Linked DNA regions of Arabidopsis thaliana. The protein of the gene in region 2 interacts with the protein of the main gene of each other region in a pairwise test. Each region holds a gene or a part of one and is shown on either strand. Other genes may lie near its edges.

Region 1 (7,223 bases), on a different chromosome or scaffold from region 2:
TTATAAATTAATAATTGTATAAATTTATGAATATATATATATATATATATATTTATATTTATGAATATATATTATGTAAAACTTAGTAAAATATGACTTTAGTATTGTTTTTCTTCAATTTATATTAATTCTTTGTAAAATTCAATTCTAATAATTTTACTACGTATAAAAAAGATTTTTTTTTTAAACCTAATAATGGTTTTATACTTGTAATTGATTTTTAGAAAAATTATTGATTGTAGAGAGGAACTACCTTTTGGATTAAATTTTTGTAAAAAATTACAAATTTTTTAAAATCTCTCCATAAATTAATAATTATTAATTTATCGATAAATTAATACCTCTCTAAATTAATAAATTTTTGTACTATTATTACCTAGAAAGTGAAAATTGACCTACAAATATATCTTCAATTTGATTCACATATACGAAGTCACGTATGTTTCTATAAATTTAGATCCAAAATGTGTGAAAACCCATCTGTTTTTGCAAATTCTTGCAATTGCAATTGCACATGTTTCTATTACGTTTAAATCAATCGAGCTCTAAGTGATTTATCCATAGTGATATACAGATCCAATATCCATGAAACATATTTAATTCATGAAAAGGCTCAAACATTATCAACAAATAAGATATGGTCAACTATGTAGTAACTAGTAACACGTAGGCTGCTGCTCTTTGTGGCAAATTCATGCGCAAGCAAAGCCTCTAGATGTTTGACAAGTTACTACCCTAATATAGCATCACTAGCTATCTTCTAATTTTTTTTTTTAGTTATTTTAATCCTGTATTCTTTTATTTATTTATTTGATAAAGTGATGAAATTTTATTCTCCTTTTTCTTATCAACTAATATACTTATTCATTCACATAATTTCGCACTTTGCGGAGTTTTCATTTGTCGTTAAACCCGACAGATTCTTGAACCGCAAGGAACGAGACATTAACCTAATGTACTTATATTTAACTATAGTATTATAATAGCATAAATGTGACAATGATTCGATCACTACTAATATATTAATCACCAATCTATATCGTCGTCCTTCCTGATTATTTGAAGATTTTGTCTATAAACTAGCTGCTTTTGTTTATGTATTTTTATTACTTGGATGCTTTTGTTTGTTGGAATATTCGAATGAATTTTTGTTTGCCTGAAACTATGCATATATAATAAGGCCATATGCGCCAATAATATAGAATCCAAATATTCATTAACTATAATTAGTTTGTTCTAGAGTTTTAGCTACTCATATATTCAAATTCTTAGGAGATCAAAAAAGTACTTAATTAGTTAATAAAATCCATTTTTATTAGTTGTAATTAAATGTAAAGTGTCGAAACACGAAAGGGAAGATGAGTTGCACAACTCGTGGTTCCTATAAGAGTGATAATCTATCTGACGTCACGCCATGCAAAATGTATCAATCAATTTTCTTCTCACATTTATATTTACTTCAAAATGATTATAAAGCCACCCAATGAATAATAAGATATATATATATATATATATAACTCAAAATCAAAAATTTCAAATGGAATTTGGAAGCATCACAAATTCACAATCATGTATTCAAAATCTCACGTAGAAAAAGCTAATAAGTCCAAAAGATTGGTCTTCATTTTTTTCTTGAGAAAGTTTGATGGGATAGAGAGAGAGACAGAGAGGAACAGCTAAATTTGCTGTGTATGTATTTAATACTTGAACATTTATTTATCTATTTTCTTATACATCAAACTCACGAATTTATAGGTTGGTAATGTCGTTTTTATAACATTAATAAAAATTGCAATTGTAGTTTTTATTGAAATTTACCCAAAAAAAACTATTATACGAAAATATGTTATTTATTTAAAATTTGATATTAGATGAATCCAGAATCTTTTATAAAACTTGGTGTGTGTGAACCTGCGTTAATTTGTTAAATACTTTTCACGTAAAAATCAAAATTAATTTTAAAAGTTATGTTACCAAACAGTATTCTGATAGTTTTACAAATTTTATCCATTGTATATGTTTTGTTTTTGCAAAAAAGTCCAAAGGAAAAAACAAAGCAGAAGGGTTGAATTGTGAGGAAAGAGAGAGTACGTGGCATCATAACTTTGGCGACAGCTAATGTGAAAACAGCCAAAAGCTACGGAGAGCGACACTCCTCGACGACGTCCATGTCTCTTTAGATTGTGATTGCATTGTTAATTATCATATTTATCAATTGATTAGTTAAGTCTTAAGTATCATCACACAAGTTTATACATTAATCTATACAGTGTTTAACACTACAAAACTCCCCAAAATCACGTGTTTCATATCATACGTACATTTGTCTACCGTCTTTATTAACAATATTAAAACAGAATTTATCAATTTTCTAGTTGAATAGACTATATACTATTATAGAGACTCTTATAAATTATGAAACTCCTAATCAATTAAAAATAGTTAATTTGAAACATATCACTCGAAACTAGGGTATTAGTTGGATTGACGATATTTTTCTTATTAATATCAACGAGAAGAATCAAGTGTCGTTAGCTCAATTGGTAAAAAATTTAGGCAAAGCTTAGAGATGTCTATTTGAGTGACGCTTGGAACAAAAATTACATGCTATGGTTTCAGGCCTAGAGAAATGCTTCGATCCAGAATCTCTTGATATTCAAAAAAAAAAAAAAAATCAACAAGAAGAATGTATAAATGGTTTCTATACTATCTAAGTTATGAAAAATATTTTTGGTTACCCAAATTACAAGATTTGTACCGAAGTGTCACACTAGATTCACATGCATGCATAGTTATAATTAACTTAAAACATAAATGACTTACAAAAATACTTACAAACAAAAACCAAATTAAGTTATTTAGTGGCCAGCTTTGTTACTAGAGTTTTAGCCATTATCATAATTCACAATAAGGTGTAGGAAAAAACATTAATATATAGTATGTATACATCCAAAAAAAACTTTTTGGAAAAAACAAATTTTGGGATTATAAAGGACACGTAGCCCAATCGATGAACAGAGGACGGCACCGAATCAATTTGACTTCACCTTTTTTCCCCATATGATAAGAGTCTCATCTCTTTCCTATATATATTTCGTACCTCTCTTTAAGGACCCTACGTCTCTCTCTTTCTCTCTACTCTCTGTTTCCTCATAATTCAATCACTATATTTTTTTAAAAACATTTGACTTCATCGATCGGTTAACAATTAATCAAAAAGATGGGACGATCACCATGTTGTGAGAAGAAGAATGGTCTCAAGAAAGGACCATGGACTCCTGAGGAGGATCAAAAGCTCATTGATTATATCAATATACATGGTTATGGAAATTGGAGAACTCTTCCCAAGAATGCTGGTTAGTATACGTATCTTCATTATTACATTTTAATCATACTTTTTTTATTCGTGAATTGTCTTTTTAAAGTTTTGCTTGAATCTTGACTATAGGGTTACAAAGATGTGGTAAGAGTTGTCGTCTCCGGTGGACCAACTATCTCCGACCAGATATTAAGCGTGGAAGATTCTCTTTTGAAGAAGAAGAAACCATTATTCAACTTCACAGCATCATGGGAAACAAGTGAGTTTGAACTTTTCAATAATTTTATATTTTTGCCATTACGTAGTTTATACGAAAACTACTAATCTTGTAGATTAGTCTTAGAGTCATAGCTTTGAATGATGTTACTAGTGATTTATGTTAAATCTACAATGCATCAGATTCTAACTTTGTTTGCTTTCGTATAGGTGGTCTGCGATTGCGGCTCGTTTGCCTGGAAGAACAGACAACGAGATCAAAAACTATTGGAACACTCACATCAGAAAAAGACTTCTAAAGATGGGAATCGACCCGGTTACACACACTCCACGTCTTGATCTTCTCGATATCTCCTCCATTCTCAGCTCATCTATCTACAACTCTTCGCATCATCATCATCATCATCATCAACAACATATGAACATGTCGAGGCTCATGATGAGTGATGGTAATCATCAACCATTGGTTAACCCCGAGATACTCAAACTCGCAACCTCTCTCTTTTCAAACCAAAACCACCCCAACAACACACACGAGAACAACACGGTTAACCAAACCGAAGTAAACCAATACCAAACCGGTTACAACATGCCTGGTAATGAAGAATTACAATCTTGGTTCCCTATCATGGATCAATTCACGAATTTCCAAGACCTCATGCCAATGAAGACGACGGTCCAAAATTCATTGTCATACGATGATGATTGTTCGAAGTCCAATTTTGTATTAGAACCTTATTACTCCGACTTTGCTTCAGTCTTGACCACACCTTCTTCAAGCCCGACTCCGTTAAACTCAAGTTCCTCAACTTACATCAATAGTAGCACTTGCAGCACCGAGGATGAAAAAGAGAGTTATTACAGTGATAATATCACTAATTATTCGTTTGATGTTAATGGTTTTCTCCAATTCCAATAAACAAAACGCCATTGGAATAGAGTTATGTAAACATGCAATCATTGTATTTGTTATATAGATTTTGTTACATATCCAAAATCCAAAATACTATAGTTTTAAAATATTTATTACTAAAGTATATTCGTCAAGGGGAAAGCAACATCCCACCAGTAAACAATATAAAGCTCAGCTCATAACATTGTTTTAATGATGGAGTTTCTATTATTGGTATCTATCTACTCTTTTGTTTAATATTTGTGGTCGGCTTTTCTTCTACATAAATGCATGGAGATCGTATCAACGATCATATTAAAATATGATTCGAAGATATATACTATAATTGATATCATACATGGTGCTGAAATGTTATCGAAATAGAAAGGTAGATAAATAATTGATAGTGAATAATTATATCATTGACTTATTATCTCTTGTTTCTCTGAAGAAATAAACTAATGATAATTTATGAACCAAAACAATACTAATAACAAATGTTTTGAAATGGAAGTGGGCCATTAAGTCAATCAAAAATTTGCACAATTTCACTAGAACCAATCAAAATGCACGAAAAACTTTCTATTTTGACCACCAGAGAAGTCTTACGAATTTACTAACCGGAATCCGGCGAGACTGGCCGGAGCGTGAACTAGAAGTACACGTGGTATGGTAGCGTACGTGTGCAATTGGGGTCAGATCACGGGACACAATCTAATGACCAGACGCCACTTGTACGACACGAAAGCAATAAGTGGAAAACGTAAGGAAAAAGTTGAAAGAAAAAGCTCGTTTTAATTGAAATCACGGTTTGTGTTAATTAATCACCTTTAACACGTGTTGTACGGAGAGCCAACTGAGAGTGGGGACGCGTGGGGACAAAGCAGCATGTGTAAACACGAACGTCGGCATTTTTTGGGATGAGCTGTTTGTTTTGACCCCTTGTTCGGTTTTTCCAGTGGATCTTTTATTACGTATAGAGTCAACATTTTTTATAAGAATAAATTATTGTGGTAATTAAATAAACCTTGTTTTTTTCATTAAATAAAAACTTGTTTAGTAAGAGAAATTTCATATTATTTTCTTTGGTTTTAATGCTAAGAGTCTTAACGAAATTAAACAATTACATATCTTGCCAATTTTGAATGCTTAATTTGCAACTAGAATAAATTGTATATATCTAGTTTTACTTTTTTTTTTCTTTACTTTTTTTTGGTAAAATATATAGTTTTATTTTTGAATTGACGGAAACGTAAGTGGGTTAGTTGAGTTGTTTCTTTTTTATATATACGTAATTAGATATAAACGTGCGGTATACCGTAGATACTCTTATATTTTAGTTAAACTAAAATTTTTTATTGTAAAAGTGATTTATAAATATATAATATTATTTTATGGATTTTAAATGTATAGTAAACTGCTAGTTGTATATTTTTGTTGATATTATTTATATTGTTCAGTATTTAAGATTATACACTTGTATTTAATTGTTAATTTTAGAGTTTCACCTATAATTACCATCTTGTATTAATATTGATTTAAACCCGTCAATTCTAAGATTTTCAAGCTTGTATTAAAAATTGAATCACATCATACACATAAAAAAATCTAATATGTTATTAATTATTATAGTATATAAGATTATAAATTTTCAAAATAATATGTATGAAATTGAATATAAATATTTAAATTATAACCCGTTACTTAGTAGAAAGTTTTCTAAAATCTATTTTTGACCTGTTATAATATTTTTTCATGTATTGAACAGTTTATATTCGTTTTTAAAAATATAAATCATGGCACATGCGAAAAGCTAATTATTCTTTTATAACAATAATATTATTTTTTCGCAAAAATAGAATCATATAAAGATGAGAGATGAACTATAATAATTAATAAAAAATTAATATGATAATTTAGATATCAAATCTAATTTGTTGATTTTAATTAGTTATTTTTTTTGGAAATTAATAATGTATTTCGTTTGTCTAATTAAATTAAATTAATTAAAATTTGGATATCAAATCTTATATGTTGATTTTGATTGGTTACTTTTTTAGAAATTAAAAATGTATTTTGTTTTTTAATTAAATTTAATTAATTAAATTAGTATTTGACTTTTTAATATTTAAAAAGATGAATTATTTTACTCTTTGAAATTTTATTTTTAATTGCATACCTATGTAATTACTTACAAAAAATATGGTTATTTTATTATGTATTTCCCAATAATAGTATAGGATTATGTTAGCATATATTTACAATGTTACCACATTTGATTTTATTTTTAATATCTTTTGTTAGCAATTTTTACTGAATGTTGAAACTTGTCAAATGTCACTATTCATCACGATTTTCAGTTTGAGCGAGATTTTTATCGATTTTTTTGGAAACTTTAAAACACTGTCGTCATAGTATACTTTTTTCTAAACATCAAATTTCCAGGACTATAATAAGAGACTATAATAAAAGCTTATAACAATAAATTATTAGCAAGTTTTAACAAGAAAAATTAAAATCTTTCATATGTTTTAGGCACCCTTAAAAATAATTTCCTTAATTGTTATTGGCCAACTTTTAATATTATACAGTATAACCTCTATAAATTAATACTCTATAAATTAATAACTTCTATAAATTAATAAATTTTTCCGGTCTTAAGTTGGAACCAGTGTAAAAAGTGACACAAACGATAAATTAATATGATAATAATTGTTTTGAAAGTTTTATGTAAATATATGGTCCCATCAATATCGTAAATTAATAATTGTATAAATGTATCAACTACATATATAT
Region 2 (9,247 bases):
AAGTCTCGGAAATCGCGAATACGAAGCTTCGAGATTCTCGAAGTGAAAGGCGTTCTCCTTGTTGCTTCAATAACTTTTTCCACTTCGGGGGCCGACGTGGTAGCCTGATGAACTTTTGCGTTCATTGCCCAGATTTGATCTTGAAGGTTCTGGAGCTCCGAGTTGACTGTGTTTGGCTCTTGTCGGGGATTAGAAATCGGGAGTCTGATGGCGGGATCCAGTGGAGCCGGCGTCCGAGCTATTGTCCCATCTGAGACTGCGGCAAGGCCTGCTGGTGAAGATTGTATGACTGGATTCTGTGTCGACGTTGCCCCGACGTCAACTGGAGGTGAAGGAGATTGCTGGCCAGAAGCTTCCTGCGAATTCTGGACGCTTGGGCTTGCGACACCCTGAAAGTTGAGTCGCGTTCGAGCTCCAGTAGTCCGCGCCGTTCCTGCAGAAAGAGAATCAACCCGCTCGGCGTATGCATTGTGCGCTGATCTGATCTCGGAATGGTTTGCTGCTAAAGCTGCGAGCTGGCCATTGCAATGTTCTTAGAAAAACACGAACTTATCGGAGAGTGTCGTTACTGCGAGCTGTTGCCGGTCGGTTTTCTCTGACAACTGCTGAAGCAGCTGCTTGATGTCGTCGAGGGTGGAGGTTTAGTCGCCGGAACTCTGACCGTCGGTGTTGCTCATGGTGAATTGATCGTTGCTCTGAAGTTAAAGACTTAACTTACCCTCCTTCTAGCGCCAAATTGTGGATGCCAGAATCCGCAATTAGAATTTTGTGGTTGTTTTTGTGAGGATCTTAAGTCTTGTCGGTCGAACAATGATCAAATGATAAACGGATTTGTGTATTTCAGTATAGTTTCAGTATAGTTTCAGTACAAGGTGTTTTCGTCCCCTTTACAAATGACAATTGACTCTTATTTATACTAATACAACGAATCAAATGACTTAAATGATTAGCTGGTTTCACGCCGCAGACCTCGCCCCTATTAACTTCGTACGTTGCGGATCAACAGCTCGGGCCTTTGAATGCTTATCATTCAAGTCGATATCCAGCCGTTACTAAATTAATTCCGTATCAACTTTTTGAACCACTGGGCTTTCATTGGGCTCTAAGGCCGGGCCCAATCCTTGTCTGGAAGCCCACAAATTGCGGGTCGAGTCGAGCACAAGATCCGACATCCACAAACCATTACTTTTTGCTGGTCTCGGGTTTTGAGCCGGGATCCACAAATCCTCCCAAACGGAGATGGAAGCCCCTGAACCGACTTTTTTAATAAGTCCTTTACAAACCAGAGATCTAACTGAACAAATACTTCTCCAGCCATAAGACGGAGAGTATGATTTTATATTTTCCAGAGGATTGGATTTCCTAAAATATCTTCGTTTAAAAACCTTGGCAAAGAGAGAGTCCGGAAACGAAACTAGACGCCATAACTGTTTCGCTAATAATGCAGAGTTTAAATCATCTACATCCCGAAAACCTTAGTCACTTCCCAATTTACTAGTACACAGTTTGTTCCAAGTCATCCAGTGTATACCTCTAGATTCACCATTCGAGCTCCACCAAAATCCTGCGACCGCACTTGTTAGTTTGGAAGTAATTGTTTTCGGGAGCCTAAAGCAATACATCACATAAGTTGGTAATGTTGCGGCTACTGATTTAATCATCACTTTTTTCCCTCCTTTTGATAGGAATTTAGTTGACCACCCATTTATTCGACTGTAATCGATCTTTAACAACGGAAAAGATCTTTGTCTTAGATCCCCCTAAACTCTCAGGTAGTCCGAGATAGGAACCCATGCCTCCGATATTATGTATACCCAAGATCGATTTTATTTCTGCCTTTATAGCTTCATCTACTTTATGCCCGAACTGAATCGATGATTTTACAAAATTTATCATATGTCCTGATACCGCTTCATATTGTTTTAGAATACCCAATAGTTAATAGACTTATTATACCCACATTAGTCTTAATTTCTTTGAATGTCACTATATTTATTTTTTAAATTTATATTTGTAATTATGTTTATCGCACATAAATTTTTCATATAGTATTAAGTTTTCTTGATTTTACTACTTCTAAAAAAATAAAATGAGATTTTCAAATTATATTATACCAAATAAATTAAATTGTGAAAATTGAACCACAGATTTAAAACATAATGTACAACTATTTCATATAAAACAACATTCTTTTCTTTAGGATAGTTACAGTAATATACCAAAAATCAAATTTAAAATAAATTAAAATTTTAATAATGTTCTGTAATAAAGAGAAAAATATATAATAAAACACGTACTAATGCATCATAAAATACACATTTTATGTACTAATAAGTATAATAAACATGTTATCTTAACTAAACATAACCAAGTAAAAAAAACATACTACTATATCAATAAAAGTAAATACATATACCAAGTAAGTTGAAAAAATAAAACTATTGCTCAGTTATTTATATATAGATTATATTAAATTGAAACAACAATTAACTTTCTAACGCAAATAATCAACTCGCTGTGTACCGCGGGTCAATATCTAATGATGTCATAATTCTCGTAGACAAATAGACAATTTTTCCATATGAGTACATTTGATGCAAAAGTAGACATTTGAACTGAAACCTATTTTTGTTTACAAACATTCATATCAACAACTAAACAAAAATCGAAACTAACTTGAATCAATTAATCAAGTATTAAATTAATATGAAAAGTGGACTCAAATTTAACTGAATCGATTTAAACCTAATCAAACCAGATAATTTTTGATTCTAAACCGGTTTACCTATGTCACAAAAAGGACCATCCATGTCATATTTTTTTTTTAATTTTTAAAAAGTCAAGTTGTTTTAAATATACTTGAGATGCAAAGAAAGATCCGAATCATATATCCGAAGATTCCGAAACCAAAGGCGGATCCGACGGCTCCAAGCTGCCATATTCCCTTGTTACTCTACCACTAAATTAAGCCCCACATAAAACAATAAAGACACGAAATATAAATACCTAAGCAAAACTATAGGAACCGAAAAAAAAAAAAAAGAATAATTCCAGCATCATTCCTCAAGTAATTTAAAAACAATTATTAAAAGAAGCAACTTGGTCTTCCATTTTTTTTGCTACAAAAAATTTAAAACCCCAAAAGAACTTAAAATCTTTTACATAAAGATCACCAACCAGCCACATAGAAAACACAACCATCGGTCTTCTTATTATTCTTTCTTCAACACCAAATAGTCATGATGAAAGTGGTGTCACCTCGTACACGGTCGGATTCAATCACTGAGAAGGTGTTTCGACGAGTCTATAGCAATTTTAACATCTCAACAGTAGAAGATGAGTATATCCATCGTCAGAGATCAAGTGATTATGAGAAGGAGAGTCGTCTAAGGAAGAGAGGGTTAGAAGACAAAGAAGAAGTTATGGAGATGGAGCAGATGGGAGCAGAGAGGATCAAAACTGTTCTTATTCTCATGAGTGATACCGGCGGTGGCCACCGTGCTTCAGCCGAGGCCATCCGCGACGCTTTCAAGATCGAATTCGGAGATGACTATCGGGTAAAAATATTAATATTTTTATTTATATCTTCATTTTCATTCTCTTTGCCTTGAATCCAACGCATAGGGTTGAGCCAATAATATGCTTCCTTAACCATATATATAACGTACAAAAAAACGAAAAAATATTGCATAAGCAACAAAACTTAATCATACTTTTATCTTTTAGTTTCTGTGTAAAACAACAACAATATTTTGAAATATTCATTTTGAAAATTTCAAAGCTTGTAAATATATACCTCGAATAATATGTATTTATATTATGACAAAATTTTCCAATAGATTATGTTATAATATATCATAGAGGAGTTTCTGATTCTAATGAAATCTCAGCCGTCAATATTAAAGTTGTCGCAGTAGTCGTCTTGAATTTGAAAACGAAAAGAAACAAATATCTACTTGGAAGTTTTGTAGCCTAGTATGAATCTTGGAGTTTGCCAGGGTGTCGGAGATACGAGCTGACGTCAACAATCTATGTCTTAAAACCTGTCCCACGTTCCATTTATTTTGTTTGTCAATAATGATTAAAAATTTGCATTATTTATTTCTCTAGCTCTGACTCTTTGATGTTACAATATTCTCTCTAGGAACTAATGTCATTTTTTTTATAACTATAGATAATCATAAAAGATGTTTGGAAAGAATACACTGGATGGCCATTGAACGACATGGAGAGACAGTACAAGTTCATGGTGAAACATGTTGGTCTTTGGTCTGTTGCGTTTCATGGTACTTCTCCCAAATGGATCCACAAAAGCTATCTAAGTGCTCTTGCCGCTTATTATGCCAAGTACTTATATGTTAACCTTCTTCTTTTTTCGTTATCATCCCTTAGTGTTACGAATTAGCAATATAATGGAGATTATTTCTTCTTTTGGTGAACAGAGAAATAGAGGCCGGTTTAATGGAGTACAAACCGGACATTATTATTAGCGTGCATCCTCTGATGCAACACATACCATTGTGGGTAATGAAATGGCAAGGACTTCACAAGAAAGTTATTTTCGTTACGGTCATCACTGATCTAAACACTTGCCACCGTACATGGTAAGATGACATTACTTCTATATATACTAAGTACTTAAAATCAGTTTAATCCACGCGTTAGCATATTAATCCTGCATGTTTACTCTCATGACTTTTCATTTAATAAAATATAGATTATATGCAATAATATTTAAAATTAACCAGTGTTTTCACGTCCGACCCAAACCGTTCGGTTCGAACGGTTAATCAGCAACCCAAACACTTTTTCGGTTTAGGTTTAGTACTATAGCCAACAATTTTAAACCCGGAAAAATCCACAAAAAATCGCCATTAACCCGCGACCCAGTGAACCGGTTGAACTGGCCGTGTGTGAGTTTTAAAAAATATATTCGATTTTTGAATAAAATATAGCATTTTAGACTCTATTCAGCTATTTTTAGAAAAAAAATTCACTTTTTAAACTCATTTGATTTTTTTATATTTTGGTGAAGTCTTCACAATTCCGCCTAAAGTGACTGAAACCGAGATTAGTTGTTTTAATTCGCAATGTTTATTAATTTATTTTCGTCATTAATGATCTCCTACTATATTTGTTACGGTTTTAGTCTTTTAGACTTTTAGTTAAATTGAAAACTTTGATTGTTACTGTTTGATTTCATATTTTGTTAAACATAAGATAATTATTTTTGTTTTATTTTATATAATCTCTATTAATATTAAATATATTCAATAAATTTTATTCAATTGACCTGTGGTCTAATTCGGTTAACCCCATTAATCGGTGATCCAGAAGAAAATCCGGTTCACTGTCCGGGTCAGGGTTTAAAACATTGAAATTAACCTAATAGCTCAAAATGAAATCTTCGATTTTGATGTAATAGGTTCCATCATGGAGTCAGCAGATGTTATTGTCCGTCCAAAGAGGTTGCAAAGAGAGCATTAGTAGACGGCCTTGATGACTCTCAAATCCGTGTCTTTGGCTTACCTGTCCGCCCATCTTTCCCTCGCACTATTCTCAACAAGGTAAATTCTGTCCAATTCATACCATTTAGAGATCTTTTTTTTCCCAATCAAGAGAAGATCAACAATAGCTATTATTATGTGTGTTTGTTAGAATGAACTAAGGAAGGAACTTGAAATAGACTTAAATTTACCTGCGGTTCTATTAATGGGAGGGGGTGAAGGAATGGGTCCGGTTCAAAAAACAGCTCTAGCCCTTGGAGATTCTTTATACAACTCTAAAGAAAGTAATCCAATAGGACAATTGATTGTCATATGCGGCCGGAACAAAGTCCTTGCTTCTACATTAGCATCTCATGAATGGAAGATTCCGGTCAAGGTACAAACTAAAATATAATTTTTTTTTTACTTCTACTATATACTTATATACCAAGTAACTAATATATACTTGTGACGTTTATAGGTTCGAGGGTTTGAAACACAAATGGAAAAATGGATGGGAGCTTGTGATTGTATCATCACTAAGGTAAGTCATATCTTTGAATCCTACCCATTCATATAAATAGCACTAAGATTTTATGACATAAAACAGGCTGGTCCGGGTACGATTGCGGAAGCACTGATTTGCGGCCTCCCAATTATCCTCAATGACTATATTCCTGGACAGGTATACATTTTTTTGCTTCACCTTAGGGATTAATCGGCCACATAAACTAACTCTATTGTATGTGACTCCCAAAGGAAAAAGGCAACGTGCCGTATGTTGTGGACAATGGGGCTGGAGTTTTCACCCGAAGTCCCAAAGAAACTGCGAAAATCGTGGCGGATTGGTTTAGCAACAATAAAGAGGAATTAAAGAAAATGTCAGAGAATGCTCTAAAGTTGTCGCAACCTGAAGCCGTGTTCGACATTGTGAAGGATATCCATCATCTATCCCAACAACAACAACGTATTCCACTTTTTAATGAATTTTCCTATTGAAGTGTTGTTTGTTTAGACTATAGGTTTCTCTTATTTCATGATTCTTATTAATGTATATTCTCTAGTGGTTTGTCATTCTTTTATCAGTCTTTTTCAACATTTATTTATGTATTTTATTATATAAAATATGGTTTTCAATGTTAGTAACTCATATGATTGTAACACGTGTCAACTTCATCGATCTCAGATTTTGACATATATAAATAAAAAAAATTTGTTTTATTAAATTTAAAAAACAAAAAGATAATTGTAAATTATAAATTTAAACAGTTTTCAAAATGTAAGAAGATAATTACAAGGAAACTAACTTATTATATAAAGTACGGTTTTCAAAGTTAGTAATTGATTATGCTATGTGCAAATTTTATCGATCTCAGATTTTAACACGTGTAAAACAAAATTTTCTTTTATTAAGTTTAAGACTATAAAAAGACAATTGTAAGAAATTATATATTTTAAAATAAGTATAAGGAAACTAAAACATTTTAGAGAAGTAAATATGATAAGTTTTAAAAAAATATATGTATCTTATTAAATTAAAAATAGAAATTAAAAAATCATTTACTAATTCTAATTGAAGCTACTAATTCTTAATCAAAATTGATTACTTTTTCCTACAAAATTTAAAAAGGATTTAAGAAATTATACAATCTTGTTATATAAAATACCATAATTATGGAAACTACAATCAATTATTAATCCTAAAAGAAAAACGATTCAAAATACTCATATCTATAAAAATAATAGGTAGTCTCCTACTTTTTCACCAAACCAAAATACTCTTCAAAAAGACCACAGTTGATTTAACGTCATACTAATGGTAAAGATTTTTTGTTAGTTTGTGGATTTTTATTTTAGTAATTTGTTAACTCATTTATTATTAACTAAGATATAATGTTTTTTTCTTTTTGTTAACTCTGATACAATATGATATAACTAGTGATGTTAATATGGGTATGCAAACCTCATTTAATTAATGGGTTTGTGTAAGAGAAATTGACCCATTTAAACTCATTTAGAAAAAAATTAAATAGGATTAAATGAGTTAACCCAACTAAACCCATTTATTAAATGGGGTTTCACACAAATAAATGGGTACCCAATTAAGTCCATTTACTTTTTCATTTTATATTAGTAAACCTTATTAAAAATGTTAATGTGTTAATACATTAAAACTAAATTATTCTACTTAACTTCACTTTTTGGTTTAAATATTCAAATCACGTTTTCTCGTCAAAATCATAAACCGACGTTTTTCCCCCAAAATCACAAAAGTTGTTTTCATACTAAAATCACAAAAAGTGTTTTCCACCAAAATTGAAAATCATGTTTTCCCGCCGAAACCGTAAACCGACGTTTTCCCACCAAAACCGTAACCACATTTTCCCGCCAAAATCACAAAAATTGTTTTCCCGCCAAAATCACAAAAATTGTTTTCCTGCCGAAATCACAAAAAGTGTTTTCCACCAAAATTGAAAATCATGTTTTCCCGCCAAAACCGTAAACCTATGTTTTCCCGCCAAAACCGTAAACCAGCGATTTCTCGTCAAAACCGGAAAACCTACGTTTTCTTGCCAAAACCTGAAAATCGACGTTTTCTCCCCAAAACCGTAAACCGACGTTTTCTCCCCAAAACCGTAAACCGACGTTTTCTCCCCAAAACCGTAAACCGACGTTTTTCCGCCAAAACCGTAAATCAAAATCATATAACACTATTTTGATATAATATTTTTAGCATTTATTCATTAAGATGAAGTCCGTAGAATCAAAATCCAGTTTATAATGATTAAATAGATAGTTAAATTGTATTGCAAATGGAATGTGTAAGATTGGAAATTTTTTTAAATTAAAATAATAAATTAAAAATGAAAAAGAGAGCAAGATACTATTTTGAATTCAAAAATCATCGATAAGATGTAGTTTGTAGAATTAAAATGCAGTTTATTAATATGAAATAAATAGTTAAAGTGTATAGAAAAATATGGGATGTGTAAGTCTGAAATTTGGTTTGAAATTTTTTAAAATTAAATGTTAATAAAAATATTTATTACTATTTAGAATTCAAATATTAATGATACAAAATTATATTTATTTCTTACATCCGCCTTTTTAGGCGGGTCTTATCTAGTACATATATATCTTACATAAATAATTTTAAAAGGAAAAAATGACTTCATAGGAATAAATTTTCTTTTACTTGATGAAAAGATTTTTTTTTTAAACCTAAATATTTTCCTATTTATTTATCTTAGTTTTAGTTTTCAAAATCGAAAATACTACTATTCAAGGCTTTGTACATCATTCTATAATTGAAAAGTTTGGAGGTTGATGATGTGAAGGTAGTCTTATCAAAATTTACTACTTAAATGTGTACTATTGCAATAAGACCCACAAAGTCTCTGATCATAAATTTCAGAGATAACGACAATCGTTTTCGTAGATTATGTATATTAATCTATACTATAGAAAAGTCGAGGCCTTTTGCTTCTTCTGCCGTCCACATAGGATTTTAAACAACCAATTGTGATTAGCCATCTCGTTAATTAACATTTATGAAATTATTCTTATTTTCTATTTTTCTTTAGATTTTTGTAAAGAAAAAAAACAAAATAAAAAAATATGGAAAGTTTTCTAAATATTATGCCACCAAATAATATAAAAAGTATCAAAATGTAAATTTCTATTTTATTAAATTTATCAAAGTAAATAAATTATTTATTATTAGTGTCTTTAAATTTATTAATACTTCATCTTCAATTACA

The links.
Region 1: the proteins of MGDC (region 2) and MYB74 interact in a two-hybrid assay, tested with the Arabidopsis thaliana proteins (one large-scale study listed by BioGRID).

What each region holds. Positions count from the first base shown.
Region 1 is NC_003075.7:2,615,337-2,622,559, forward strand, and holds MYB74 (myb domain protein 74), read left to right. Parts: upstream 1-3,035; 5' UTR 3,036-3,220; coding exon 3,221-3,356; intron 3,357-3,448; coding exon 3,449-3,578; intron 3,579-3,745; coding exon 3,746-4,454; 3' UTR 4,455-4,611; downstream 4,612-7,223. UniProt on the Arabidopsis thaliana protein: Probable transcription factor that may function in salt stress response.
Region 2 is NC_003071.7:4,740,149-4,749,395, forward strand, and holds MGDC (monogalactosyldiacylglycerol synthase type C), read left to right. Parts: upstream 1-3,013; 5' UTR 3,014-3,239; coding exon 3,240-3,557; intron 3,558-4,118; exon of another isoform or gene 4,119-4,174; coding exon 4,175-4,347; intron 4,348-4,442; coding exon 4,443-4,604; intron 4,605-5,425; coding exon 5,426-5,567; intron 5,568-5,658; coding exon 5,659-5,883; intron 5,884-5,967; coding exon 5,968-6,030; coding exon of another isoform or gene 6,031-6,066; exon of another isoform or gene 6,067-6,070; coding exon of another isoform or gene 6,071-6,076; exon of another isoform or gene 6,077-6,096; coding exon 6,097-6,171; intron 6,172-6,245; coding exon 6,246-6,485; 3' UTR 6,486-6,662; downstream 6,663-9,247. UniProt on the Arabidopsis thaliana protein: Involved in the synthesis of monogalactosyldiacylglycerol, the major structural component of photosynthetic membranes and in the chloroplast envelope biogenesis.